Astyanax mexicanus: one gene and its partners. The protein of the gene in region 1 purifies or fractionates together with the protein of each later gene. This does not show direct contact. Links are inferred from orthologs where the notes say so. Each region holds a gene or a part of one and is shown in the gene's direction. Other genes may lie near its edges. The genes, in order: dcaf7, tcp1, csnk2a2b and protein diaphanous homolog 1.

Evidence for each region.
Region 2: the proteins of dcaf7 (region 1) and tcp1 purify together in Homo sapiens (affinity purification with mass spectrometry; 3 studies listed by BioGRID and IntAct, counting the BioPlex papers as one, with this or other methods). This does not show direct contact. The link is inferred for Astyanax mexicanus from reciprocal best matches to the Homo sapiens genes DCAF7 and TCP1.
Region 3: the proteins of dcaf7 (region 1) and csnk2a2b purify together in Homo sapiens (affinity purification with mass spectrometry; 8 studies listed by BioGRID and IntAct, counting the BioPlex papers as one, with this or other methods). This does not show direct contact. The link is inferred for Astyanax mexicanus from reciprocal best matches to the Homo sapiens genes DCAF7 and CSNK2A2.
Region 4: the proteins of dcaf7 (region 1) and protein diaphanous homolog 1 purify together in Homo sapiens (affinity purification with mass spectrometry; 5 studies listed by BioGRID and IntAct, counting the BioPlex papers as one, with this or other methods). This does not show direct contact. The link is inferred for Astyanax mexicanus from reciprocal best matches to the Homo sapiens genes DCAF7 and DIAPH1.

What each region holds. Positions count from the first base shown.
Region 1 is NC_064426.1:21,247,369-21,255,095, reverse strand, and holds the start of dcaf7 (DDB1- and CUL4-associated factor 7), read left to right. Parts: upstream 1-4,642; 5' UTR 4,643-5,021; coding exon 5,022-5,159; intron 5,160-7,727. UniProt on the Homo sapiens protein: Involved in craniofacial development. Acts upstream of the EDN1 pathway and is required for formation of the upper jaw equivalent, the palatoquadrate. The activity required for EDN1 pathway function differs between the first and second arches.
Region 2 is NC_064420.1:22,435,525-22,442,520, reverse strand, and holds the start of tcp1 (T-complex protein 1 subunit alpha), read left to right. Parts: upstream 1-3,865; 5' UTR 3,866-3,938; coding exon 3,939-4,011; intron 4,012-5,510; coding exon 5,511-5,596; intron 5,597-5,705; coding exon 5,706-5,834; intron 5,835-6,942; exon of another isoform or gene 6,943-6,996. Other genes in the region: uncharacterized protein LOC111194026, read right to left, coding at 264-335, 458-568, 714-836, 948-995, 1,137-1,259, 1,361-1,408, 1,718-1,753. UniProt on the Homo sapiens protein: Component of the chaperonin-containing T-complex (TRiC), a molecular chaperone complex that assists the folding of actin, tubulin and other proteins upon ATP hydrolysis.
Region 3 is NC_064417.1:7,238,335-7,246,190, forward strand, and holds the start of csnk2a2b (casein kinase II subunit alpha'), read left to right. Parts: upstream 1-4,781; 5' UTR 4,782-5,511; coding exon 5,512-5,615; intron 5,616-7,856. Other genes in the region: ccdc113 (coiled-coil domain-containing protein 113), read right to left, coding at 1-205, 1,818-1,970, 2,112-2,220, 3,112-3,203.
Region 4 is NC_064409.1:66,225,111-66,233,135, forward strand, and holds the start of protein diaphanous homolog 1, read left to right. Parts: upstream 1-4,880; 5' UTR 4,881-5,583; coding exon 5,584-5,694; intron 5,695-8,025. UniProt on the Homo sapiens protein: Actin nucleation and elongation factor required for the assembly of F-actin structures, such as actin cables and stress fibers. Binds to the barbed end of the actin filament and slows down actin polymerization and depolymerization.

The sequences.
Region 1 (7,727 bases):
AATTACTGCGATAAACAATATTACTGTGATTTAAGATCATTAATTGCTACTGATATAATGATGATCAAATAGCATAACTAAGCAATTATACTACTTTTAACGCAATAAAATGTTAATTCAAATAGACAATATCACAATTATCAAATATTATTGAGGTCCTGTCTAATTATTTCAGAATAAATCGATAATGTAATCAATAGTGTAATTGTGACAGGCCTACATACATTACAGAGCTTTAGTGACCCATTAAGGTGCATACATATGTAAGTGCCCAAATGGGAAACTGTGACATAGGGAACAGCTGGGTAGAGGCCAGGAGCAAATGTTTAAACACCAAACGTCTCTACCAGTCATTTATACACTACAACAGTGTACCCTCATCACCCCCCACACTCACGTTCTGTTATTAGTAAACCAGAGGAAGGACCCCTGCCCCCCACTCAAGAAAGCAACGGTAAATACCTAAGGGCTAGGCTATAACCCATCTTGACAATAAAATAAAGCCTTTATATAAACATTTCATGTATCACAGTATTTAAAAAAGGCTGAAACAATCTAAGACAAAAGCCGCACTTTACAGGGTCTCAAAACACTACTCTACAAAAATGAGAGGTTTTTAAAATTTGTCTTTTTTTTAAATAGACATTTTCAATTAAAAGAAAAAATTAAGGGCTTAATTTGCAGACAACAACTGCCCCTTAATACTTCAATTTTTGTGTGCAACCCTATTAATAAATGCATACATCTACTTAAAGCTGTACCTACTGCTAAAACAATTTAGCAAATGCACACATAAAGCTTGTCTCATTGCTGTAGACAGGTATTTCCAATAGATACAACTGATGCAAATAAACATGCAATAAACAGAATGCCTAATGACAGGCAAGGGATATAGTGGTACAAATGCTTCTAGTATTAGGCTGAGAAACAGTGAAACTGTGTTATATTTAATGATTGCACATCGTATACTTTTGGGATGAGATAGGGACGACAAGATGAGAATAAAATGTGGTGTTGATCATCCAGCATCATGATCTTATTAATGCTCTTGTTGCTGAATGCAACGAGAATGAGATCCTTACAGCAATGCTCAAAGATCTAGTAGAAAGCCTTTCTTTCCTAAACAGCAGAGACTTCAATTCCAACTAAATCGGGACAAACTCTACTTTAAAAACAATATTTGAAGTTGGGAGAAATAATGAATGATCACGTGTCCGGATAAATTTAGACAATACAAAACTACTGAAAATAGACATAACCACAACGAATAAATCGTATCGAAGCTAAAGTGGTGTGGATCGTTACACCCTAAATATCAAACTGATCAGTTCCCCTTCATTAAACTAAGGTCAAACACACGCTTTTAGTAATCAAGCAACTGTCCAACTACAATCGGGACAAATCCTAATCTAAGAGTCCAACATGCTGACAAATCAAATCTCCACAGAAATCTAGCTACTGCTTTTAACCAGCTGGACAGATTAGAGCCTAACAGCTTATTTAGCTTAGCCTAGCCGAGCTTACCTAGGTTACACTACCTAGTTTATAGTGGCGATGGCGTCTATATTTAAACAGTAAAACAACAAATTACTGCCTATACAAATAAAGTTACATAATAGCGATTTAATAACATAAACATTATCTAACTAGTTAAATACTAACAATATTTACGTCGAGAATGAGTTAGCAATTATGCTAACCTAAGCTAATTAGCTTGCTAGCAAGATAACCTTACTGGCTAGGTAACTACGTTAGCTTTCTGGTGGCTAAGATAAGGGAATAGGACAGGTGCTTCACTAACGTGTCACTTATATTAGTTAACTAGCTAACACACAGGCTCGTTAACAAATATTTAATTAATTAACGTTTAAAATTGTGACTGGTGTTATTTATCTGTAGCTAAAAGAAGTAAAACCAGCTCATTGCAAGCTATCTATAGTTAACCTAGCTAGCCAACTAACGTTAGCTAAGTAGCTGGAATTTCTCCCGTTCCACCTTAAATGTTAAAGCGGACAGATTGGAGGTGCTGCACTTTTTAAGGTGGAACGGGGGAAAATAGAAGAATTTAAGAGGTTAAATCAGATCATATTTAGAGCAAGTAACAACATGTTATATGTAGATATAAGACTTTATATTAAACTCTGTAAAATCCTATCTTAGCTAAGTTAGCCGGCTGCTCCTACTAGCGAGCTAACTCTATGCTAACAGGCTACCAGTTCAGCGTTTTTTTAGACTACAGTATCTGACAGTAGGTTTAATACGAGATAAATTATGGCTTGGCGTCTTTTTTGACCTTCTAAAATGTAACTACACCCCCAAACAAACAAGCAACAAAAGTGTTTCAAAGGTAACCAATTTACCTTCTAGTTCTTCTTGTATTACGACGTTATAAGCCAGGCGTTTCTTGCTTGTGTCGACAGTATCTCACAGCTCGCCGTCTGCCTGTCGTACTGTCTTCTGCAAGCGAGGGCCGCGTCCCAAGCCCATTTCCCAAGTATGTATTGCTGCAGACTGGAGCACCTCCAAAGGGGAGGGTCTTAGCTCCAAATGGGAAGTCCCCAACTCCAAAGGGGAGGGGCTTACCTCCAAGTGGGAAGTCCACCAACAGTATCTCACCACGGCTCCGGCGAATGTCATAATAAAAGCCTTCCGCGATTATTATTATTACTATTATTCTGTTACATCAAATTTAATGTTATATAGAATGTACTATCACATTATATTATATTATATTATATTATATTATATTATATTATATAAAAGTCTACATCGTAAGGCAGGGAGACCTCACTCAACACAGCTCCATTTCTCTGCTGAATGCCACAAAAAAAAGTCTTCCGTGATTAAAAAGCTCATGGATGTCAATAAATATATTAGTCAACAATTAATGATTATTCATATTTCTTAAATGTCAATATAATAAAATACGTGTAGTGTGTATGTATTTATAATTGTATTGGCTATGAATAAACAACTGCCTTTATTATTTAGATCTTTACTATTTTATAATTTGAAAAATTCACAGCATGGCAAAAGTTTAAACGTTTTAAATAAATAAAATGTGGTTGCAATGTGCACAACATGCAACAACTCTTAGAAAATGCATTTAAAAAGAAATAAACATTTAATAAACAAAATTGATTCATTAATTATTCTTTGGGGTTATTTACAAGCACAAAACGTCGTGAAAAACACCATACCGCTTAACATCAAGCACCATCCTACTTGGAGGTAGGCTCCGCCTGTTTGGAGGTATGTTCCTCCCCTTTGGAGGTGCTCCAGGCTGCAGCTATACCCTTCTCCCATTTCCACAAATCCGTGCAATGAGGCTTCAAGAATATGGCGTGGGTTGTGCTCCAATAAGCTCACTAGGGCTAGGCCTAAAGCCTTTAGTTGTTTTTTTTCCCCACCTCTGTTCTAAAAAGTTTAGCGCCCGTTTCTCGTATCCACTTTGTCCTAATGTCTGTATATACAGTATTATGCACTGTTATGTGTGTTTTATATGTGCAGTAAATATTGAAGTGTCCCATTTTTTTAAATGCTCCCTTTAACAAAATGGCATTAAGTTAGCTTAGTTGACTATGTTTCTCACAGCGCTTTGGTTTTTTAATTCTTTAAAGTTCTCTTTCCATTTTTTTTTATTACATTTAAAATGTCTAGTTGTGGTCTCTAGTATGAATGATACCAACTGCTAATGACAACACAGCTAAACCCTCACATATAGCAGTAAACTGTCCATACTTTAGCTGTCCATACTAAGGTATTTTTTTCCTTTTGATTTGTATATAAAGACCGAATCAGGACATTGCCTTTTAAGTGAAATATTATAGGCAGGACGTCATCATTTGTTGAGATGCAGACAAAGAGTGTCAATAAACATACTATATTTCAGTGAAGGAATAAATAACTATATCTAATTCTAACTATATGTAATAACTAAACACAAAAAAACTCCACTCACTATGCCTTAACATTATGTGCTGACTGATGACTACAAAATAAACTGTTGATGCAAGAAAAACTGCTCAATCCATATAAAAACTTCTCAAACCAATGCAAATCAGAAAAGAATAGTTCTAAGCTTTATTCATATTTATATTATATGTGTGTATGTGTGAGACTGGTGGAGGAAAACATGCCAGGGTTATTCCTCCAAATATTGAAGACTTTATGAACATAAACTTGTTTTCTTTGCATTATTTGAGCTCTAAAAGCTCTGTATCTTTTTGTGTCCGCCATTTCTCATTTTCTGCAAATAAATGCTCTAAATGACAATATTTGACATTTGGAAGAAATGTTGTCCATAGCTCATAGAATAAAACAACACTGTTCATTTTACCCAAACATATACCTATACATATCAAAACCAGAGAAACTGATTCAGAAACTGAGGCGGTCTCTTATTTTTTTCCACATGTGTGTATATAATAATAAAAAACTAAGAATGAAAAAAGTAATAAAAAAGTAAATAATTAAAAAATCTAAAATATTTCAAAAACCGTTTATATTAGCTATGTAATTAGAACTGTTAAACTAACTGTTTTAAAATAGGATCAGTTATGTTTAAATGTTTAGTCGCCACACAGAGTAACTTATTGTGATTATTAGCCTCTCTGCAGAAGGACTTTTATTTTGAAGTCGGGTAAAGACATTTTCGATCAAAACCTCGAGCTGTCGTTTTTCAGCTGTGTGCTCCGCGGAAAGGCCCGGTGAGAGTTGGCGGTTATTTACTGATATAAACGGTAATCCGCTGTTTTTGTTATGCGGGATATTTAGCGCTGTGTTCGAGATATAGAGAGACGCGGAGGGAGCGGGTCTGGCGGAGCGGAGCTGCGTTGTTTAGCTCGGCTGCTGCAGGAGAGCCGCGGGAGTGTTATGACATTCCCTTTGTCTGAATTAACGGGGCGTTTGGTCGTGTTTTGGTGGTAAACCCGTCGTGTCGCGCGTGTTCTGGGTTTATTTGGTCGTTAGGTTAGTCCGCTTTACTCGGTCGAGGTTCGCGTGGAGCGGAATAATCAGCCATGTCTCTGCACGGCAAGAGGAAAGAGATCTATAAATACGAGGCGCCATGGACCGTGTACGCGATGAACTGGAGCGTCAGACCCGACAAGCGCTTTCGGCTCGCGCTCGGCAGCTTCGTGGAGGAATACAACAACAAGGTAAACAGAAGCTTTTTACACTGTATATTACGAGTTTTGTTATTTGAGGTTTTTATTAATGTTTATTTAGGTTAGTTTAGCTACCAATGGCCTCCATACCCCCTTATGGAGGAGCTCTTGTACTGTGTGTTTAAGTACTCCGACACCTCTAGGTCTCTAATGAACGTTAATGAATATAAAACTACTGTAGAGCTTTTTAATTTACCAGTGGATTCCCTTCAGGGTTTCTATATTAACAAACATACATCTCTGTAAATAATGGCAGGTGTCTTATAGGTTAGTACTGAATAGGCCTGTCACAATAACACATTTTTCATTAAAAAAATATTTTGGGCATCTAACATTTACGTTACACTTGATAAATACTAGCGTTTTAATGAAATTACACATTGCATACAGTTCTGGAAAAAAATCTTAGAGACCTCCTCAGTTTCTGAATCAGTTTTTCTGATTTTGCTATTTATAGGTTTATGTTTAAAATTAACCTTGTTGTTTTATTCTATAAACTACGGACAACATTTCTCCCAAATTACAAATAGAAATGTTGTCATTTGGAGCATTATTTTCAGAAAATGATAAATGGCTGAAAAAACAAAAAAGTGGCAGAGCTTTTAGACCTCAAACAATGCAAAGAAAACAACTTCATATTTATAAAGCTTTAAGAGTTTAGAAATAAATTTTTTGTGGAATAATCCTGGTTTTTAATCACAGTTTTCATGCATCTTGGCATGTTCTTCTCCACCAGTCTTACACACTGCTTTTGGATAAATTTATGCCACTCCTTGTGCAAAAAAAAGCAGTTCAGCTTGGTTTGATGGCTTGTGATTATCCATCCTTCTCTTATTATATATTCCAGACATTTTCAATTTTTGTTTTTAAAGAATATTCAGATATCAATGGTTGATAACAAGGATTACAAAGACAAATGGCCTTGCAATAATATCACAATATTTCAGGGTATGTCAGTGATAACGATATTCTTGATGATATGAGAAAACATTGACAAAAAAATCAAGGACAGAATAATGCAACAGAATAAATATTACCAAACAATAAGATGTGGCACACCCCTAACTGAGATATTAAAAAATACAAGAATTTTATCAGATTTGTAGCAGAAGCCAATGATCCAGAATTCAGGATACAAATAATGCACTCCATATATCCAGGATTAAAGTAAAATAAATGATACTGGACAGATATAATCTGCCTCCTATAGATATATAATAGGAAATGAGAATAGTATTTTTTTTTTGCTAAAAACAGCAAAAAAAGTGGTGATAATTAGGGGTGGGTAATATAGCATGATATTTCAGGGTATAATTTAATTCACGATACTCATAAATGTTGCCGATATTACTGCATATGATACAATATGGCACACACCTAGTCTTGAAACTAATAATACACTGAAGTAAAATAAATGAAAGTCAACAGATATAATTTGAGAATAATATACATTTTATTTTTGATATAAACAGCAAAAAAGTGGTACCCTAATGAACCATATGGCCCTAAATTAAATTACAATATTTCAGATTCAATATTTTCAGAGGATTTTTGCAATATTAGTGCATGTGCTACAATGTGTTATAATGTAGCACACACCTAATTGCTGTCATTGTCATTTCATGAATTTTCATGCTACTGATATTAACGGCTTAATTAGGCAATTTAATTTTATGGTGATGGACTGAATGTTCTGTGTGTAAATGCTGCAGTAGTGAGTGTAGTAACATTTTTACTAAAATTATTTTTTCCCCTTTTAGTTAATTTATCAAGTACCCAAAGAACTTTAAATGGCAAAATAAAGGGTAAAAATATGTGTGTGTGGGGGGGGGGGGGTTCTAAAAGCTTTGGGTTGGTAGTATATGTATGTGTACAAAAATACAGAAAATATTGCATGTTATATGGAATATTGCATCATATTAATAGTACTGATATTCTTCTTTGCTGATTAATAAATCCACCTGCAATGTACAGTTCAGTCTTCTCCTGCTCTTGATTCAGATCTTCTGCTCTAGTCCAAGTTAACATGGCGCTGCAGAACATTACACAGTATAGGGCAGGTGAACTATAGCAGACTACAGTGGCCTAGATAACCAGATGAGATGTGTAAGAAACAGTGTTGGAGGTGAAAGCTGTGCGAGGTTGATTGCATTGAGGATTGGATTTCTCTTGTGTAAACTAGACCAATGTGCTTCATTTCCATCACAGCACCTGAATCTTTATGCTGTAGTTCAGGGGTTTCTTAACCTTTTTTTAGTATAACAGCAAATGCTTTTCCCTCTCTGTGTAGAGTATGTTCCACCGTTTATTAGACAGTAAAAGTAAAAGTAATCCCTTTTAAACATTTAAATATCCCTGTTTGATAATTCAGGTATAAATTCCACTGCTATATCTAGTGCATATCCTTTTATACTTAGCAGTGGAGCCCTCAGGGTTTTTTTTTCAGGGCAGATGAAACTGATTATTTTGATAACTGTGCAATTTTGACAAGCGAGAAACGTTTTTTTGAGCTGTGGATCGATTGTGCAGTTCCATTCATCTCTATTCTGAGTAAATAAT
Region 2 (6,996 bases), on another chromosome or scaffold:
AATAAAAATATATAAAATATCTATGTATATAAAAAGTGTAAGTGCTTACTGTATGTGTATGAGGTTTACTGTGATGTTATTAAATACAATATGTTAAAATTACTCAAAATCCATTTACCGTAAGCATCCAAATGGATTTCAAGGTGTAATGCTTTTAAAACCCTTAAAGAACCACATATTAAATAAACACTGTACTCATTACTTTCACGTGCCTTTCTCACAGCTTCTTATATGTACTGCTTTAAATAACACTGAGATCTGACCTGTATTTTAGGAGGTGGCTCCAAACTCTTCTCTCTGACATTGTCTTCCACGAGGTCCGAGTCACACACAGCCTAGAAGAAAACAGGGGAAGAAAAAAACAGGTTTCCTAATGAACTGTATATCTATAATCATTTGAAGATAGTAGAGAGGCAGAGGTTAAATAGATTATATAGGATTAACTGCAAACTCTTACCTGTGCAACTGGACCTGGGACATCAGGCTTAGTAGAGTCCAGCCTGTGGGCGGGGGCTGCCTCCCTTACCGGCACCAGGACTCTCCCACCATGCCGCCTGGGCGAGGAAAGCTGCAATGGAGTGGAAGATAGAGACTTTAAAGACTCATATTAATAGATATTTAACAGATTTAAAGTGGGATATGGTTTTGGAAGCAGCTGTATGACTGTGATGCTTTTCTGCATCTTAATTCATTGTTTATTGTGCTTTTCTCACCTTCTCGATGAGGGCCCTCAGCTTCCCCTCGAGGAACTCGTGCTGAACCCTCCTGAGCTCCTTCCAGGGGTCTGGACCCTCACCCTGCCACTGCAGACAGGCGTCCCTCAGCTCCTCAGTGCCCTTCAGGAACATGGAAAGAAACACAACTCAGGATTATATACACTGCAATATAAACTAAACATGCTGCTTTTTTTTACGCAGATCAATAAAAACAGTTTGATAGAGACTCACGCAAAAAGGCAGGAGAATGGGGGGGTCGCAGGCGCAGTGAGACTCCACCTACAACAGAAAATAAATTCCAACCATTTTAAAAAACATAAATCAACATATGTTTACATATGTATGCATTTACAGTTTGTGAAACACGTGACTGTGATGCTCCTCTGCATCTTAATTAATTGTTCATTGTGCTTTTCTCACCGTCTCAATGAGGGCCCTCAACTTCCCCTCGAGGAACTCGTGCTGAACCCTCCTGAGCTCCATCCAGGGGTCTGGACCCTCACCCTGCCACTGCAAACAGGAGTCCCTCAGCTCCTCAGTGCCCTTCAGGAAAATGGAAAGAAAAACAATTCAGGATTATATACACAATATATGCAATATAAACTAAACATGCTGCATTTTTAGGCAGATCAGCAATAACTCACGCAAAAAGGCAGGAGAATGAACTGGTCTCCTGACCCACCAGAAGCCCCCTGTAACAGAAATACAAGAAAAATGTATTACAATAATTTTTAAAAATGGGATTTACTGTTTACTGTTACTACTGACACTGACACTGAACACATATGCCACCCTTTATGGCACCCAAGCTAGGAACCCTTTCCAGACTAATACAGTTATTTAATAAAATACTAATGCTATGCTAACTAGGTTAGGCTAGTTATTCAACACCACTTCCTCAGACTCCGCCTGCAGAACTAACAGCTGCTGTAATTCATGCTGCTCCTAGTTTTATCTTGTCACTGTAAATTTGGTGTAAAATTAGATAATGGTTTACTTACCTCCAGGAGATGGTCTTCACTCCGCCAAAACTCCATGTCTGACCGCGGGGTGTCAGTATACCCACACCGGTTTCGACACCTGAAAAACAAAATATATGTGATTAATAACAGAAAATACAAGTAATATAACAATAATATAATAATTAAAACACAATACAGTTAATAAAACAGTAAATATTAAAGAATAAACGGGTCTGTTGTCCAAAAAATCGCTGGATATCCTCAGTGAAAAGCTGCTGCTGCTGCTGCTGCTGCCGCTATTCTTGAGCTCAGGAACTCTGTAAACATAACAATCATCCAATCGTCTCGCTGAACGAGGACGCGCGCCGCGTCACTTATGTAGCCATAGAAACGCGTATATTATGTTTTTATTTAATTTTTTCCTTATTTCTTATTTTTCAAATGCTTTGCGTGTCTGACTGAAAATATGTATACTTATACCACAGTCATTAGTACAGTTATCTCAATTATAGTGCAATTACATGTTGTGGTGAACCCTGGTAGCAAAGAACATTAAATACATTAAATAAACTTTATTTAAAAAAAACTTGTATAAAAATAACAATAACAACAACAACGACAACAACAATAATAATAATAATAATAATAATAATAATAATAATAATAATAATAATAATCATTATTATTATTATTATTATTATTATTATTATTATTATTCAAAATATTTAAATAATTTAATCTATGTGCAGGAATAAAATAACTTTTTTAAATGGGGTGGAATTTCCCATTTTTAAATGCTTTGTATGTCTGACTGTTAAAATATTTATTTTTATAACACAGTCATTAGTACAGTTATCTTAATTATAGTGCAGTTATATGTTGTGGTGAACCCTGATAGCAAAGAATATTAAATTAATGATTATTAATGATTAATGATTTTTACATGCAATACAACTATAATAATAATAATAATAATAATAATAATAATAATAATAATAATAATAATAATAATGATGATTATTATTATTATATAGTAATAATAATAATAAAATAATACTTATAATAATAATAATAATAATTTTATTATTAATTTAAAATACATTTTCTTTGTGCCCATTCGCACAAAGAAAATTAAAATATTTAGATAGTAATTAGCATGGATTTTTTTCAAGACCACCAAATGTATAGTAAATTTGCATTTTAATGTAGTAAACATAAAAAAGTAGAACATTTAATTTAATAAAATGTTTTTTTTTTTCATTTTAGTTTTATTTATTTTGGTTTATTTTAGCTTAGTTTTCTGTAGTATATTTTAGTTTAGTTTTGTCTTGTTTATTTTGGTTTATTTTATTTTAGTTTATCTTACTGTAGTTTATTTTATTTTATTTTATTTTCCTATAGTTTATTTTATTTTATTTTAGTTTAGTGTACTTTAGTTTAGTTTAGTATAGTTTATTTATTTATTTGGTTTATTTTATTTTATTTTACTGTAGTTTATTTTGGTTTACTGTACTTTATTTTAGTTTATTTAAAATAATTGTACTGTAGTTTATTTTATTTTAGTTTATTTTGGTTTATTATTGTTCATTGTTTTGTTTATTTTAATTTAGTGTAGTTTAGCTTAGTTTATATTATTGTAGTTTATTTTTTTTTTAGTTTAGTAAATTGTAGTTTATTTTATTCCGTTTAACTTATTTTATTTTAGTTTAATTTATTTTCGTTTATTTTATTTTAGTTTAGTTTGGTTTAGTTTATTTTACTGTAGTTTAAAGTATTGTACTGTAATTGATTTTATTTAATTTTATTTTGGTTTTAATTTATTTTACTGTAATTTATTTTATGTTGTTTTAGTTTCGTTTATTTTGGTTTATTATTGGTAGTTCTGTTGTTTTTGTTTATTTTCGTTTAGTTTAGTTAATTGTAGTTATTTCATTCTATTTTATTTTAGTTTAGTTTAATTTATTTTGGTTTATTTTATTTCATTTCATTTATTTATTTATTTATGTATTTCTTTTTTTTCTTTATTTGTTTGTTTATTTAGTTTAGTTAATTATAGTTTATTTCATTTTCATTTAACTTATATTATTTTATTTGAATTTATTTTGGTTTATTTTACTGTGGTTTAATTAAATTTTTGTATTTTGGTTTGTTTAATTTTATTGTATTTTCAGCCGATGGGCTCTGGAAGGTTCCAGGCCGGGCGGCAGTTCTTTACCCAGAGTGCACCGCGGCTCCTTCTCCTCCTTCTCTCCGCTCCGTCATGTCTGTGCTGGACGGTCCGCTCAATGTTCTCGGTCAGAGGACCACCGGGGAGTCCGTGCGGACTCAGAATGGTGAGTTTAACCGCGGACCGGCTCCGAGACCCGCGCTCGGTTCTCTATGGATCAGCAGAGAGAGAAAACGTGCCGAGTTACAGCGGTTCACCGGCCCATGCTAATGCTAACGGCTAACGGCTCCCTCAGCCTCCACGTGCGGATTAAAACTGCTCAGACTCGCCTGTAGTTTAGTGTGTTACCGGTTAAAGATAGTAACCTGGCTAATTAGCGGATTTAAGGGTCTTTATGCGCGAGTCTCTGTATTAATATCAGTATTAACTGTTTCTTTATCAGCAGCCCGTTATGTTTGCTGTCAGTGTTGCCGGTTCCGCCCGTTAGCTAGCCGGCTAACCTAGCCTAGCCACTGTTATTAGCCTGTTGTTCAGCATCATGGAACATTACCCTATTATTTAGTGAATAATAAACTGTTAAAAGTTAAATGTTACACCGGTCAGTCAGTAGCGGCCCTGCTTGACAGAACTGGTCAGTGTTCAGTTTGTTAATGTTTATTTTAGATTCTGAATTTCTGGCTTTGTAATCCTGCTCCAGCAGAAAGCTACAGTATGCAAATCAGCCTGTGGGTCTGCAGCCACAGTGTGAAAGTGAGGAACTGATATCTGATCAATATCAGACATTTTAGATCAGTGTGATCATTGTTGGACTAAGTTCCTACTATATATAAATAACAGCTACTTCAGTTAAAGTAAATGTCTGAAAAGTCTTCTCTTAAGAACTTTGTGTAAAAATATCTACAATACTATTTAGCTCAAAATGTACTTGGGTGTTGAAAGTAAATGTCACAATTCAATGCAGCTCTGTTTTTTTGTAACTTCACTCTTGTTAATAACTCCTATTTTAAGTGTCCCTCATGGTAAATCAGCATTTTAAGTAAGGCTGGCCAACATAAATGTAATAAAAAGAATTTAACGATTTCTAGTTCTTATGTAACTGCAGTTTTTTATTTGTAAATAGGTGACACTGTTTTAAGTGATGCACAAACAGTTTTTTCCTTTTCCCAAAAATTAACCAAAAGGTAACATTGTTCAGTCAGGTTAGGATACACAAAGAATACGCAATGATTGTGTGCAATTTCATTGTACATTTTTCATTTTTTGCTGCTTAGTACTAAGAGAAAAAATATCGCACTGTTCTCATTTTACATGACAGTATTTACCAGATGGTCAATTATATCTTGTCTAATACAATTAATTTTGCTCTAATCATTGATGCAGTTATACTGTTGTTTCCATTATATGTTGCATCATTGCCTTTTTTTTTTATTTAGTCTGTTTACATTGTAATGTAATTTGTTCCAATACTGTGCAGCCCTAGTAACCAGCTGCAGTTAATCAATCACTGTCCACGTTTGAATAAATGTGGCTGTATTTTATAGAAAGTGTGTAATATGGGTATGAATTATAAAGTGGAATAATTGCCTAGTTTACAAACAGTGAACCTCTCCTGATGGCTAGATAATTGAACATGTTTTGATGACTTCATTTTTCTGTGTTTAACAGTCATGGCTGCGGCCTCCATCGCAAACATCGTCAAGAGCTCCCTCGGTCCCGTAGGGCTTGACAAGATGTTGGTCGACGACATTGGTGTAAGTGCAGCAACTTCAGATTATTAAGGCATTTAATAAAGTGTTGCTTTTGTTTTGAAGGCTTTCTGGGAATGCTTTTATCAATAGTGTGTGCTTCTGTTTACCGCAGGATGTAACCATTACCAATGACGGAGCCACCATCCTGAAGCTGCTGGAAGTGGAGCACCCTGCAGCAAAGGTCCTCTGTGAGCTCGCAGAACTGCAGGACAAAGAAGTTGGAGATGGAACCACATCTGTGGTAAGTTGCTAACTGTTATCTTTTCTTAGTTACAGTTATAGTTAAGAGTGTAAATGACCACTTTTTTTTTTTTTTTTTTTTTTAAAGAAATGTATTAATTTACTAGGTTAATTCATGCATCTTAAAGCCACAATATCTTATAGCCTCTCAATGATGCAAAGAATTGTTGTCAGTAGGCTTAAGCCTGCATCAGCCCACCTGTCTGCATTTAGAGTTAGTTATACAGCTCTCTTGTAGCCAATGCACAGTGCAAATGTAATTGCTTCAGGTTTGTAGACTTAACTCATAAACTTGTGTTGCTTAGGTTGTCTGATTACTGAAGTGCTTAATCATCGAATCTGAACTGTTCCATAAAAACCATCACCCGAGTTGAGTTTTCCCTGTATGTGGTTCACCATTTCTGTGTTCTCACAGCAGGAATAGTGGCCCAAATCTGAGTTTTTTTGCCAAGTTTTTAATATTTGTCTGAATAGTTATTGGGCAATACTTCACGCAAAGTTTCGGTTTAATCCTCTCAAGCCTTACTGTAACTATCAAGGAGTTCCAATTGCTGACAACTAGGGATACACAGACGTGGGAATTGTGGGCCAATATTAAACATTTATTTAGTTTTAGCCATGTTCATAACTTGGAGAGACTTGGAGAAACATCAGTAAGTATTGGTTTTGAAATGTTTGCCATGTCAGCCAATGCCTATGATTCTTAAAAAAAAAACTAAAAGCAACAATTGGCAGATACCGAAACGATTCCAATATCATTGTGTATTCTTACTGACAACTTCCATAGAGTGCAGTTATTTCTCCAAAGTCACTTTCTTTGCCTTGTCTGATATTTTTTTTAGGCCTATAATTTTTAATAATTTATTATTATTTGTTCAGCAATTTCTTCTGAAATGTCTTTAAACTCAGAGCGGTTGTAATATGTGCCTCGTAATCCATTGTTTTGACATTAAAAATAAAATTAATTCTGATCTGGCTATTTTTGCGCATTGTATATTTATTGGATTTTAATTCCACATATCAAGTGGCCGGAGTAAAAATGAAGAGCACCTTATTCAGTTTATTTTAGCTGTTCACACTGCCACACAATTAATACACTGTACTGGCAAAGTCCTGTTTTTAGTACCACCCTCCTGCTCCTTATCAGAGTGTGTGGCTATGCT
Region 3 (7,856 bases), on another chromosome or scaffold:
CACCTTGCACACTGAGTTGCTGCAGGTCCTGGCTAAGTTTGTCAATTTGCTCAATATACTGTCTCTTCTCGATCTTCAGCTTCTGGAGATCCACCTTGTGAAAAGTTTTTTCCACCTCCTCTTTCTGCCTCATTTTTAGTTTTAGCTTACGCTTCTGTGTGTGACGAGCCGTGTTTTTCTGACACAGCCTCTTTGCGGGAGTCTCCTGTGAAGCAGAGAGCAACAGATTTAATCGTATGATTTATATATATATATATATATATATATATATATATATATATATACAATTATATATATGATATATAAATTATATATATATTATATATATTAGGTTTGTTGTATGTATAAGTTCCCTACATTTTGACAGTATTTAATAAATGAATAAAATGAAAGAAAAAAAGGACTAGTTCACAGCAATTTATTTGAATTAGCCAGCATTCAAAGTTCTCCTCCATATGCGCAGTGCATTTACAGAATCTCACCAGAGGGGTCTCTAACGGGCCGCCTTTTAAAAGAAAAAATTCTGCACCAAAACAAACACAGAGTATTTCAGCTTTCTAAATTAAATTTCTAAATAGATCTGTTTTCGGTCTTGACTCAACCCTTTGCTTTCCTTTAAAGGGGCACTAAACCCCCTGATTTTTGCTGACTCCACCCTCAGCTCAGATTTAAAAAGGCTAAAAAATGGGAGGGGCACTGGGTGATGTATGGGTTTAGAGGCAGGGCAGGACGAAGAGCTGATTGGCTGAGCTGCAGCAGCAGCAGTGTGCCTTTTATAGCGGTGAGACCCAGATGGTTGGACATCAGTTGATTAACTGATTTGCACCTTGTATTGTGTTTACATACAAAAGTACACGGACACAACATCCTCAACTATAGTTGAAAACAGTTGAACCTGTGAGGGTGCTGTAGAGGTGGAAAGTACCACAATAAAAGCATTTTATTAATGGTTAGGAAATGTTTGCAAACATTTTAAGCAGGATTGGTATGTTTTGTTACTTTAAAGGAACACATTCAGATATTAATAAAAAAATATATAGTTTAGGGTTTAGTGGCTCTTTGCAGATGCAGCAATACAGGTGCATGCTTTTACTTAATCTACTGTAGGTTTGATTGTTGCAAACTTCTTATACTAATAACAATTAAAAAAAATTCTATCAAAATACTTCCTGAAGCTTCGTTATCTTGTCTAATTTAAATAGCTAAAAGTGGAAACCTACTCAAAACTCAGTATGGATTTTACCGGGCATCTGCTCACACTGAACCAGAAAATTATTTATTTGAACTTTATTTACCATTTATTTTTACATTTTTTACCTTATTCTTTCACAAGAACCTGAATATGGACCTTTATTTTGGTAAAAAACTAACCCAATATTCATGACTGACTGGCTGACTGGTTGGCCACAAGCACACGTAAGCCCATACACACACACACACACAAGCACAGAGACACACACAGGATGTTTCAGGAGTGGGACAGAACATATAAATAAAGAACGCTGTTTAATGTTGTGTGCTTGCTCAGCTGAAAGAACGTAGATTGTCATTTGCAGGTTCCCAAGCCCCTAAAAAGATTGGCAACACCTCTGGTTACAAGTACTGATGCAACACGTAAAACAATTATCTAAATAAAAAGTACTAAACTCATGGAAAATACGTAGTGAAATAAAAGTGGAAGTAGGAGAAAAAATGTATAGTTCAGTAAAATACCTAAGTACAATAGTAAAGTAGTTCTACTTTGTTATACATCTGTCTCTCTTAGGAGAAAAAATGTGAAGAAATCTTTAGTCAGTTTAATTAAAAAGTAATATAACCTTGTCTGAACTTTGTCTTAGCTTCTCCAGGTCATTCCTCAGCTCCTCCATCTCCCTCTGAGCAATGAAAACCTTCTGCTCCAGCCCCAGCAGCTGTGATGATTCCTTCTGAGATGGCCTCAGAACTTTAGATTGCCTCCTGCGCCCGGGATGCTGGTAAATAATATATGGTAAAGATCATGATACTGTAAAGAACTTTTTGAAAGCTTGGAAATAGTGTTTAAATTATCAACCCTATGCCAAATATCATTGCCAACAGTCAAGTGATGGAAGACATGAAACATATTCACTCACCCCATGTGCCATTGATGCAACAGAACCCAAATGTTCTGGCACAGCCTGAGAAACCAGGGCTTGGTGCTCAAACATCTCATTCTCAGCCTGTAAGGCTGCATTGAAACGCCTGCATGATAGAAATTCACATCAATTGCAGGTTATTAGCTGAAAGTGAAGATACATAAACAACAGAACATGGTGGACCATCTTCTGCTCTAGCAGATCTTTAATCTGCTAACTTCCAGGCTTAAGAAAGTCAGGATCAAACCATTGGAGTTAAAAGTTGTTTCTATAATTTTATTACCATATCTGACACCCACTTTGTTTTGGCCATTATGTTTTTTTGTGCTGCAAATACAGGTTTTAAATAATTAGAAAGATATATAAGAGATGTAAAAAAACGAATAATAATGAAACCCCAATTATATCTAAGCCAAATAACTCTCTTACTCACTAGAACTCCCCCAATAGACCACTGCAGTCCTGCATCATTCTGTAGTTCTCGTATGCCCATATTTGGGGTTCCGTTCTAAGCTAAATTTCTGAATGGGCTTTTCAAAAACTTGTCTTTATTACACTCTGTGGTAAATAAATATGTGTAGAACCCTATACGTTATATTCTGTGTGCATTTTCCTACTAAAAGCATCACTAGATCCTCCGACGTACAAGATTGTTTAAGAGGCATTTTTTTTTATCTTTTATTTACTGTTATTTTAAAACTTATTTTAATTTTAAATCAAAATTAAGTCAAAATAAAGGTTGATTGATTCATTTATATGTGTAATATTATTTTTTTATTTAAAAAATAATTATTAAATTGTATTCACACAGTGTTAGCTAGTTAGCTTAGTGTAGCAGCACTGTAATGCTATGTGGTTAAATTAGCCAAGTTAGCTAGCGAGCTAACTGCACACTAAAATAATACAGGTTTATTTTAAACAGGAGCGTATTTCCTATTAACCACTGTTCTCTGAACATGCTAAGTTACATTATTAATAAACGTTTTCTATGTTTTACCTCAAGTCTTCCAGCTGTTCACGCGTTAGTTTCATATCTACTTCAGTAAAGCTGCCTTTCTCCGGGTCCTTCATGGTTGCTATGGTAAACATGGCTGTCGCCAAGGAGGACAGCGGAGCTTAAAGGCTGAATGAGCATTATAAACTGTTAGAGGTGGCTAACCCAGGTCCAGAAAGTAAAACTCCATCCCAAGGTTTTGTACCAACAACCTGGGCGGCTCTGCTGCATCTCAAACCCTGGGATGGGTTTTTAATTTCAGGACCTGGGTTAGCCACCTCTACTGTTGTTAAGAGTCATTCATTTTAAACTAATAAACAACTATCTTTACTACAAAAACAAATAAATAACAACGAATAACAGATGTTAATGACAAAGTAATCAATTAATAATCCATATTATTAAGCCTGTATAACATGAATTTTATTTTATTTCAGAGAAAAAAAAAACACTGCTTAAAATGAGGTCTGGCTGCATAATGTTTTCTGAGGTAAGAAACGAAAAACACGTCTTAAATAAGTAAATGAAAACAAAAAAGGTATTTAAATCTAAACATGTTATAACATTATTTATAACATTTATAACATTTTATCTATTACTGGCATAATGGCTAATTTGGTTGCTGAAAAGATTACTCCACCTTCAGGTAGAATGTTAGACCAAATCCTTACCCTTATTTTTTGGAGGCTTGTCTTGAGAGATTTAGATTTTTAAAAATAACATAAAAAGTTTAAGGGATTGTGTAAGTAGCAGAAAACACCATGCCTTAGATGGTAAGTAAAATAAAATGTAACAGTAGAATTTGGTGTAGTATGTTATGGACAAAGCAAAAAAACCTAAATCCTTCCCTTGATTTAACAAAGGTAACTTCTCCAAACTTAACATTAAGAATTTATGGATGGATGGATTTAATAATTAAAAAATGCATACTGCACAGCACTAAAATACATACTATTCTTTCAAATGAACAAACACTGTTCCCTTATGAATGGATGGAAGGATACATTAATTGATTGATTGAATTATTGTATTTAATGATTTAAAAATACACTGCACAAGAGTTATTAAAACACTTTAAATCATTGAGAGCAAAACCACAATACAGCTTATTTCGTAGTCCTCATTATATCGACACTTTCCTAAAATAATCAACTAATTAATTTTTTCAAGTTTTATTGTCATTTAGAGCATTTATTTGCAGAAAATTAAAAATTGCTTTCAGAGCTCAAATAATGCGAAGAAAACAGTTTCATATTCATAAGGTTTTAAAAGTTCAGAAATCAATATTTGGTGAAATAACCCTGTTTTTTAATCACAGCTTTCATGCATCTTGGCATGTTCTCCTCCATCAGTCTTACACACTGCTTTTGGATAACTATATGCCACTACTGGTGCAAAAAAATCAAGCAGTTTAGCTTAGTTTAATGTCTTGTGATCATCTGTCTTCATCTTATCATTATATTCCAGAGGTTTTCAATTTGGTTAAATCAAAGAAACTCATTATTTTAAGTGGTCTCATTTTTTCCAGAGCTGAAGATGGATTCAAAAAGTTAGTGAGAAGTGTAGTAGTGAGTTGTAGTGAGTAGGGCGCACGCTACAGAATGGAACGCGCCCTAGAAATACTAAGATGGGTGGCAGCAGTTTGCAGACATGCGCAGTAGGGGCGTTAGAGACTATTTCCTAGTACACAGACGCTAGTCTTCTTCCAGGTTACCGTACTGCGATCTGTGTCCCTGCGGAGCGGAGCAGGAGTCGCGCAGGGAGACTTTCTCCACAAATAAAGCCCTACTACCGAGCGCTGGAGCTCCTGCATGGGACTGCAACGGGTTTGCACGACCCCCAGCCCCCCGTACTGTGGTGGAGATAGAAAGCAGGCCAGCTAGCAGCAACGGTCTGCACTCCTCCTCTCCCTCTCTCTCTCTCTCTCTCTTTCTTTCTATTTCTCTTTCTATTTCTCTCTCTCTCTCACTCTCTCTCTATCTATCTATCTCTCTCCAGCCGGCTGGACCGAAGCGAAGGGCTTAACGCTGCTGCTGCTGCACGCCAACTTCACCACTCCGGCACAGTTACTCTGATTTCGGTGCTGCTGGGGGATTTCTCGCTGGACCTCCGCAGTTCGGATCTGGGATTTGAAGCTGGCTGGGGGTGGGGGGGGGTATAATCCTGAAATATTCTGACCAGTAAACCCCCCCGCCTGCCTCCTGGGTTTGGGTTTACACACGCTGGTGGTTTGTTTTATTTAAATTGAGTTGTTTTTTTTTATTATAATTATTAACTTTTGCTGATTCGTCGTTAAGAAGCCCCGTTTCTCCATCTGTACCAACTCCTGCCCGCCTCTCTCGCTCGGCTCCGCGGCTTTAGCCCTGTCCGCTGTACCGTTAGCTCCTCTCCCGGAGCCCCGCCATGCCCGGCCCGGTGGCCGGCAGTAAAGCCCGAGTGTACGCCGATGTGAACACGCTGAAGAGCCGGGAGTACTGGGATTATGAGGCTCACGTGCCCAGCTGGAGGTGAGAGACCAGCCTTAACCCTAAAAACACATTCCCGCGTAAAATCTGTAGTATTTTACTTATTCATGCCTCTGTGTTCCACCCCCAAAACCTGCTGCTGCACGACAACACTGTTTAGCCAATTAAAGGGAATTATCTATCTATCTATAAGTATATGTATCTGTCTATCTGTTTTTGTATCTGTCTGTCTATCTACTTATATTTAGATAGACAGTATATGTAGATAGTCTGTATATTTATGTCTGTGTTTTTAAATCTGTCTGTCTGTCAGTAGGTATATTTCTCTGCTGTTTTTAAATCTATATCTATCTATCTATCTATCTATCTATCTATCTATCTCTATCTATATCTTTTTGTCAGTCTATCTATCAATCTATCTATGTGTAGATTTATCTATCAATCTCTATTGATCTGTCTACGTGTAGATCTGTCTGTCTGTCTGTCTGTCTAGCTATCTATGTATGTCTATCTGTAGGCCTGTCTAATTATAGGCCTGTCTATATATAGGTCTATCCATCTATTTATTAATATTTCTGTCTGTCTGTCTGTCTATACATAGGTCTATCCATCTGTTTATTTATATTTCTATCTGCCTATCTGTAGGTCTGTCTATCTATCTGCCAGTATATCTATCTCTCTGTATGTCTATCTATCTATCTGTTTTTCCATCTATCTATCTGCCTGTCTATAAGTCTATGTGTCTTGCAGTCTGTATAGCTGTCTATTTGTCCATCATATTATCTAAGTTTTACTCTATCTGTTCGTAGGTCTGTCTGTCTACCTGTCCATCTATGACTGTTTGTCCATATGTCCATCAGTCAGTATATCTACCAACATATCAATCTATCTCTGTATTTCTCTTTTTGCCACCTGTTTTTGCTGACAGTCTGTCATTGCTCTGACTGACTTGAGGACCAGTAGACAGATAAACCAAGACAGGTAGATGGTAAAAAAGATAGACTGACTTACAGATAGACTGATTAAGGAACAAATGGGTAGATAATTCATCTTTAATTGGTTAAACAGTGTGTGTGTTTGTGTGTGTGTGTTGGTCATGCTGGTCTGTCTAAGAGTCAGTTTATGTGTTTAACACTCTATAGCTTTCTATTTGTCTAACAGGTTATCTATGTTTTGCTCTATCTGTTTGTATGTCTGTCTGCCTGTCCATCTGACTGTTTGTCTATCTGTCTGTATATCTGTCAGTATATCTGCCTACTTATCCATTTATCTGTTTTGCAACCTGTCTAGGTGCCCATCTCATATGTCTAAAAAATTGTCTGTCTGTTTAATTATCTGTTTAATGGGGGGGCGATATGGCCATAAAATATGGTAATTTCGCGAAAACGATACTCTTGGCGTTATGATAAAACACTGAATTAAAAAAAAAAAAATTTCAGGAATGATCTACTGCATCAAAATGAAAATGTAATTTTATTATTGCATACGATATGATATGGCACACCCCTAACTTGGATATTAAAAATAAGAATTTGATCAGATTTGTAACAGAAGTCAATGATCCAGAATGTCATGATACTAATTCTAATAGATATGTCAAGGGAATTGAGAATTTTCTGTGAAATTTTCTTTTGCTAAAAACATTATTGAATACCCAACAGTTAAGCTGTTTTTCATATGGGGCAGAGATTTTTAGGCTAAATGAATTTTTGGAAGTGATGTTTATAATAGTAGGCCACAGTGACGGGAGAAAGAACTGTGAACGCCTGTCAGCTGATTTGTTCTCAAATGTTTATATTAGAGTAGGGTTGCACTGATTCTGGGAATTCTGGTCCAATACCAATATCCAATATTAAACATGTAGGCTATATATCTGCCAAAGTGGATACACATATTTATAATTTGCAGAGAGACTGGTAAAACTGGTAAAACATTTGTTTGGTAACAAATGTAACATTTGCAACCTACTAATCTAACCAGAACAGCACCATCCATCTGTTATCAAACCCCAGAACCTACTAATCTAACCAGCACAACACCATCCATCTGTTATCAAACCCCAGAACCTACTAATCTAACCAGCACAGCACCATCCATTTATCAAACCCCAGAACCTTCTAATCTAACCAGCATAGCACCATCCACCTGTTATCAAACCCCAGAACCTACTAATCTAACCAGCACAGCACCATCCATCTGTTATCAAACCCCAGAACCTACTAATCTAACCAGCACAGCACCATCCATTTATTAAACCCCAGAACCTTCTAATCTAAACAGCAC
Region 4 (8,025 bases), on another chromosome or scaffold:
AGCAGTCTTGCTCTTCTTCTTTTTTAATTACAGTGTCTTTTTGCAGTGATGTGCGTGGCTCTGATGAGGATGTGCATATGCTGGGAGGGAGATTAGCCCGGTCTATCTCTGCGTTCCTGGCTCCCACACAACACAAGGCGCCGTGCCCTGATAAAGATCACACTATCCGCTCTAATCCGCCTCCAGCTTAGCATCACATGCGCTGAAAAGCAGGTGTGACACGCCATAGAAAACGACTGACTGATAAAGAAATGGGACTGAAGGGGATCGAGTTTTGGAATTCGTGAGAACGTAAGGCCCAGGCTCATTTTACAGTCGTTTATTTCACTAGCATTTTCTACTAAACTTTCAGGGGGGAAGGGAGCAATGGAGCATGCTTAATGGCTATAGGCTTCATAATGGGCCTCATTAAAAATGTCGGACTGCCCTTTGACTGGCCTTATATCAGCAGCAGCGTGCAGTGCATCAATGATCAGCTCTCCTTAAGAGCATTACTGTGGCCTATAGAGTATGGATTTGTGGGTGTGGGTGTGTGTGCCTCATTGTGAGGACCGAATAGCCCCAGGATAAATAATGGTGAGAATCGACGGGTCCCTATAAAAGGAAAACACACGTTTTTAATAATGAATATAAAAGCACGAAGAAGAATCACTCAATCACCTTTTGTGTGGCACACATACGCATTCGACTTCCACCTTTAACAACATTGATGCACATACACACACACACAAACACACTGGTGACCACACATACACACACATTGTACCCAGAGGACGTGGTGCATCCCTAGTTGTGGTGCTATGGGGGGGTTAGTTTGCCTTGCTCAGGGTCACTTCATAGTCATGTTCTGTCAGTTTATGGAATCAAACCAGCAACCTTCAGGTCAGAAGGCTGCTTGTCCAAACTTTGGGGCATGGCTCCACTTTTATATGCAGTTTTTCAAAATTGAAAAATGTACCTAAGTGCAAAGGGTTTCCTTTAAATCCTAAGGTTAGGCTTAAAGTCTGAGCAAAATGTCTTTGAGTATGTCATAGAGCCATGTCTATAGCAGTCAATGAGCTCTCACCAGGAGGTACACTATCTACAGGGGTTGGACAATGAAACTGAAGCTGAAATGAAATTTCAGACAGCATCCTTTTGCATTCACAGTTAATCCTGTTGGATGTGGTTTGTCCTTCTTCTTGGTGGTATGCTGACATTAACCCTGGATACCGTGGCACTTGATACATCACAAAGACTTGCTATCTTGGTCACCCATAATGTTGTGTGCATTGCAATATTTTGAGCAAAACTGTGCTCTTATCCTGCTAATTGAACCTTAACACTCTGCTCTTACTGGTGCAATGTGCAATTAATGAAGATTGGCCACCAGGCTTCTCCAATTTAACCATGAAACCTCCCACACTAAAGTGACAGGTGTTTCAGTTTTATTGTCCAACCCCTGTAAATAGGGCAGATGGGAAGCTCCTTTATGTATTCTTATGGAAACACCCAAAGTCTTGATCAAAAAGAAAAAAAGAGACAAAATAAAACATGAAAACCCCCCTCAGAGACAGGAATTCGAAACATGCATGTATGTGTTTGTATCCACACAAGTGTGTGCATGTGTGTAATAGGTCTATTTTTAAATCGCCTGCCAAAGATCAGCCAACGTGAAGGCTCAATCCTGGTGATGCAGCTACGGTATCATTACTGCCTGCAGAGAAAAGAGTGCACAGAGGCACACCAATGCATCACAGAACATGCCCACACTGTTGCGCATGTGCGCAGATGTGGGTGGATTGAGGGGGGTGAAGGGAAGCGTGTAAATGGAAATGGAAATGAGTGCAGAAGAAATGATAATACTTAATCGCATCAACTGGAAAGAAACCAAAATAAAACTGGGTTGAGTCAGCACATTTTTTTTCACAAGGAGAGAGTGCTATGGACAATATGGTGTTGAATTTGCATGAGCAGAGTGACAGTGGCTGTTTCTCAGCTGTAAAAAAAACGACTGGTTTGCCAGAGATATCTCTTTCTGTCAGGCTTAGGTTTCTGTTGAATGTTAATTCTAGCCTGGACCAAATGAAGTGAACATAAGGCAGACGTCAGCAGGATTTCACCTGCTGTTCTTTAGAGTTTGAAATGAAGTCAAAAGGAACATGATTTGAGTTATGCTTCTGAAAATTATTCTGGTTATATGTTTAGTTTGTAACGGCAACTTGGTTTAAGCTTATGGATGTGTCATGTATGGATGTTGAGAACTAGGTAGAGCAGTCGCAACCATCTGATAGCTTCTCAAGCTCCCAGGAATACTTTTTAAAAAGATCCAGGATCTACTGCATCAGAATACAAACTAATGAGTTTCTGTAGTATGAAACTTTATATACGTTAATATGATAATGATACATGCAATATTAAAACAAAAGTGGATTGCGTGGGGAAACAGTACAATTAAAAGAAGTTTCTAGTACCATCTTGAGCTTCCTGTGGCACATTTGCCCAGATTGTTGCAGCTGGGTCTGTAGATCCTGTAAACTCTTGATAAAAATGAAAAAAGAATTAACTATAAATCTGTTGATAAGGGAAATGCTAGAAACCCCTTGCTGTGTATGGGCAAGCATTATCATGCTATAAAATAAAAGAAGGCAGATGGATGTCCTGCAATTAGAGGCTATACAGATGTACATGTAGTTGTCCTGCACATATTACTGAGCTTTTAGTGTCCCAAACAGAACCTAGATTCATTGTAAAAGATGACATGCTTCCAGTCTGTAGCAGTCCAAGTAGCCTCTGAGAGCATTTTATAGGGCAGTGAGGGAAAAAAATGCTATCCTATGGCAAGACCCAGTGTCTAATCAGGCCAGACCTATAATCATTTACATATCTGCTTGAAACAGAGTTATATGTTGAATTTTGCAGCCTATTTTTGTAAGTGTATGCACACTTAGAAAAGTAAGTACAGATTTGTACTTAAAAGAGTACAAAGCTTGTTGCCAGGGCTGTACCTTATATTGAGGTACAAAAAAGTACCTTCCAGTGAAAGTCCTTTTTTGTACCCATGTTTTTATGCCAGTAAAGATTATAAAGATTATAAACATTATCATCAACTAAATATGTGTCTTCATGATGCAAAAGTGTCTGGCTCTCAAATAAAAAAGTGTGCAAATAAAATATATATTGTTTATTAGTACAGTGGTACAGAATACTGAATGTACCCTTTGACTGGTTAAATGGTACAAATTTGTACTTATTGCTGTTAGAAATTACTTTGTACTTCAGAGGGAACAAATCTGACCCTGTAAAGACCAATATTGTACATTTGAGGGTACAATTATGAACAGTGTACCTTTGAGTAAAAAAAAAAATACTCCTTTCATACCTCTGTTTTTTTAAAGTGTGTAAATTATTAACTATAATTGTCTCCAACACTACTATAATAAACACATCATGAGTTATAATGCATCATTTATAAGTTACAGGAAAAGTAAATATCAACAAAAATGTAAAAAACAAACAAACAAAAAAACTAAAAACAAATCAAATATAATATAATGGCTGTAAACCACTTTCTTAAATGCCAGTTCTGGGAAGCTTCACATTTTAAGCATCCTCTGTTTTAGCACATCTGTTCAGGCTCATAAGGTAAATACCAAGTCCTTTATAAGGGGAATGGACTGTGTGTTTAGAGATCCAGGAGATGTAAGTAATAGGGTAGAGATTTATTGTTCTGTACGATGGTTTGGGGTATTCAACAAGATGGATTTCACAGTTTCTTCTAATTTCTATCATAAGTTTTTTTTTGCTTTGCTGCTGATTTTAAGATTTAAGAGGATCTACAAGTTAAGTTGTATTAATATAAATGAGTATACATAAGTATAAAATTGATGACAAAAAAAAGAGACAAAAGATAAAATGAGCAGAAACAAATATGGTTTACGAATAAAATTCCAAAGAGCCGAATTGATTAAAGAAAATAAATGCAATAAATGTCTAGTGAACAGTTTGAAATCTAAAAATGATGAGTTCCTTTGATTTTACCTAATTGAAAACCATCATAACCATCAAACAACGCTGAACTGCTTTTTTTTGCACCAGGAATGGCATAAAGTTATCCAAAAGCAGTGTGTAAGACTGGTGGAGAAGAACATGCCAATATGCATGAAAAAATGTGATTAATAACCAAGGTTATTCCACCAAATGTTGATTTCTGAACTCTTTCAACTTTATGAATATGAACTATTTTCTTTGCTTTATTTGAGGTCTGGAAGCTCTGCATCTTTTTTTTTGTTATTTTAGACATTTATCATGTTCTGCACATAAATGCGCTAAATGACAATATTTGTATTTGGAATTTGGGCAAAATGTTGTCAGTAGTACTCCTTAAACTTAAGTAATCTGGGTATCTGAGAATCCATGCTTTGTGTTACAGTCTAACACTTGTTGGCTTTTTTTGCGTGATGAAAGCCCGGCCTTTATAGCTGAGATTGAACATGCTGCTCCTAATCTTCACACATGGTGGAGCTGTTGGGTAACAGAAAAGAAAATCACAATATATTTTTTTTGCCTACAATAACTGTTGTGAACATATTTTAATAAAAAAAAGTGAAAAATGTATCAACCCTTCATAATTTTATTTAGAAACAAAACTTTAGGCACTTCACAGTCTTTAGTTCAGATAGTGGGCAGTTTAAAGAGCAATATATATGTAGGCTACAGACTGCCTGTAAATAACTGTGTTATTTTGAATTATTTATGGAGCATTCATTGAAATATTCTTTTTTTTATTTTGTAGTATTATTTTGTTTTTAGAAAAGTGAAAAGCACAGTGCACGCGCAGTGCTATCTCAGGTGAGGCCCTCGTGCGTAACCCCGCCCTCGCGCTGCTAACCTGCGTGCCTGAGAGCGAGGCAGGAAGCGACGAGGAGCCGCGCGAGAGCTTCTGTTGTTCTTTAGTAAACACGAGCGAAAGAGCTGGGAGAATTTAGCTAGTATGGGAATAAAGTTGGGAAATGTGCTTGTCGGGATGTTCGTCGAGGGAAACCACGCGGCGCTGGATGTTTCTGTGAGGGGGTGGTGAAGTTTTTTGAGGGTTTGTTGAAGGTTAGCAGAAGGTTGAGGGCGGTAGTTGTTAGCTAAGTACACACGAGTAGTCAACGTTACGTTAGCCAAACTTGAGTTAACACGTTAATAAGACGGTTAAAGTGCGTGTTTTTTGCGTTATTTCCACTTTAAACGGACTTTAGTGGAAGTAAACTTGTAGTAAGTCACTGATAGGAAGAGATTTAGGTGCTTTTAAGAGGGGGCTCCTATTCAAATCTCCCTCCCTTTTCCCTCCTTTATGTGGGGACTGCCTGTGTGACTGAGGGCTCTCTGGGTTCTCAGCCTCTTTCTTTCAGGCCGCGGGGATTTATTTAGCGAACTAACGTACTTTTTGTAGCAGTCTGGAGGAAGCAGAGGATAATTTCTGAGTTACAGTAGCTAACTCAGCTTTGTTAGTTAGCTACAGTTCACCGTCAAGAAAAGCGTGTAAAAAAAGCTCCACAGCGCCGGAGAACTGGATACTGCCTTCATTGTTTTCAATCAGTTTGGATTAGATTCACCATGGATCCTCCAAACTCTGGGAACTCAGCGTCCTCTGGTGCTTCTTCAAAAAGCACCAAAGAGAAGAAACCCAAGAAAACCTACGACGAGGGAAATGAGAAGAAGAAATTTGTGAGTATTTTGAGTTGGGTTAAAGTTACTCAAGCTGTAGCTGGCGGAATAACTAACTATAAACGAGCTACATGTCCCGCAGGTTTTCTCTCATTGCTGTCACATCACAGAAGCACTCACTGAATCACACCATGTACTGTCAAGTGTACTGTCATGAAGTGCTGAAGTGCTAAAGTGCTAGAAGGCTCTAAGAAGTGATTATGCAAAGCTAGCTAGCAGCTACACTCATCCAAACACTCCTGTTCCCATCAAACTTAGCTAGTTAGCTAGCTGTCTAATTTAATTCAAATGTAGTTTACTAGAAAACAAAAGAGAAGAGGAGGCAGCAGGCAGGCGTTTTTCTGAGCCATGCGAATCAAGCCTAGAGTAGTCTGTGCTTTTTCTGAGTTTAAGAGACAATCTACGTGCCCTGCCTTCGCTAATGATGAGGAAGTAACAGCAGTGTGTAAAGTGTGTGTGTGTGTGTGTGTGTGTGTGTGTGTGTGTGTGTGTATGTGTGTGTGTAAAATATAGGACGCCAGTGGAGGGGGTTTGGGTTTTACTCTAACAGACCATGTGGACTGTAACACTTTATGGGACATGTGTTGAGACAAGTTTCCCAGACAGGGGAAACTAAGTTTTAGCCAAGTCTTGTACTATATAGCATTTTAGCATTTCAAATAAATACTATATATTTAAAGGAAACATTTTGTCTACAACTAGGCTTAATCCCTGTCTAAGAAACCAACCCCATATGTCAAAAAAAAGTTGTGCACCCTTTTTACATTTAGATTACATTTAAGGCATTTGTCTGATGCTCTTTTCCAGAGTGGCTTACAAGGTTATTTCTATTACAGAGTTGGGCCAATTTAGTGTTAGGACTCTTATTGAACCCCAGCCTCCCACTTGGTAGACCATCAGCAGGTGGTTGTGTTATCCACTGTACCACACAAACCACTGTCAGTTCTAAATTTGCTAAAAGTTGAATACAAATCTACGTTTTTAGTGGTTTTGAGCACTGAATACACTATGTATAAATCTATGACTAGTATTAATCCCTGTCTGGGAAGTTTGTGGACCCCTTTCTATAACTAATGCAGAAATCCAGCTCTATAATTTTAAATCAGTTGCTGGGAAATATGTCCAAGTGCATGCACATAGCTTGTGCAGGACTCTCTGGAGCAGATAAATAAACATGAACCTATTGGCACTGTGCCTAATGCCAGGCATGGCACAGAGGGCAGTAAAGCCCCCAGCATTGAGCTGTGGAGTGGTGCAACTGTGTTCTCTGGAAGGTTGGTGCTTTTGGGAAGAGTTGGGGAGTTGAGAATAAGAGGTGAAGAGGTGATCATCCTCCTAACACACTGACCTCACTAATGCTCTTGTCATGCTCTAGCAATGCTCCAGAATTTAGTAGAAGGCCTTTGCTAGGCATTAGAAATAGATGCTCCAACAAAAGCAGCAATAACTCTTCTTAATGCAAAATGTCTTTTTAAGACACTTGATTTTACAAGAAGCTAAAAACAAACAGATTATACAAAATGTCTGTACCGAATGTACGTACATTATTGTACCTAATGTAAATAATTAAATTTCTTCTCAGACTTAAATGTGGTCAGTTTGATTCGGTTATTTAATGCTTAACATGTTTAAATGCAAGTCATGGATGGCATGGGAGTGTTAATGCCTGCCTGAACAGATCTCATTTTAAAATCAGATCTGCCACTGGTAGCCTCAAAGGCTGTCACTTGGCACACAGACTAGTTCAGCCAGTGTGGGCTGGACCTGTGTGTCTCAGCCAGCTGTAAAGCTTCCTGAGACTGTGTTTGTGGTTACTACTGGAAAAGGGAACTCTGTTACGTCATAGTCTGGGAAAAGTGAGTCAAGCCAGGCAGTTCAGCCTTGCTGGATGACAGCGCTCAGCGTGTTATCCTATCTCCCAGTCTTTTCATCTTAAGAAAACTGATATTCACCCTCCTAATGTTACCATAGATTCGTAAACACACCTGGTGTTTGTTATCCCTTTATAGTGATACCCATCCGCTGTCTCCCGGAGAGCTTGCAGACAATAGACGTGGTGCATCTTTATCTTTGCCTGCTTCTTCAGGCCTGCAAGGGATGCAGGATGAATAAAATACATTAATACACACAAACATATGTGTTCAGTGAAACTCATATGTTACTTTTTTGAGGGTACTCTAATTAAAACAGAACCACTTTACAGAAAACATTTTATAGCACGGCTTGTAAAGGTTCCTGGAAAGTTGGTCTGTAACATTCCAGAAATAATGTTTCATGTTATGTTGAATGTTGTTAAAACTTGTGATGTAATAACGATTTGCAAGGTTGTAT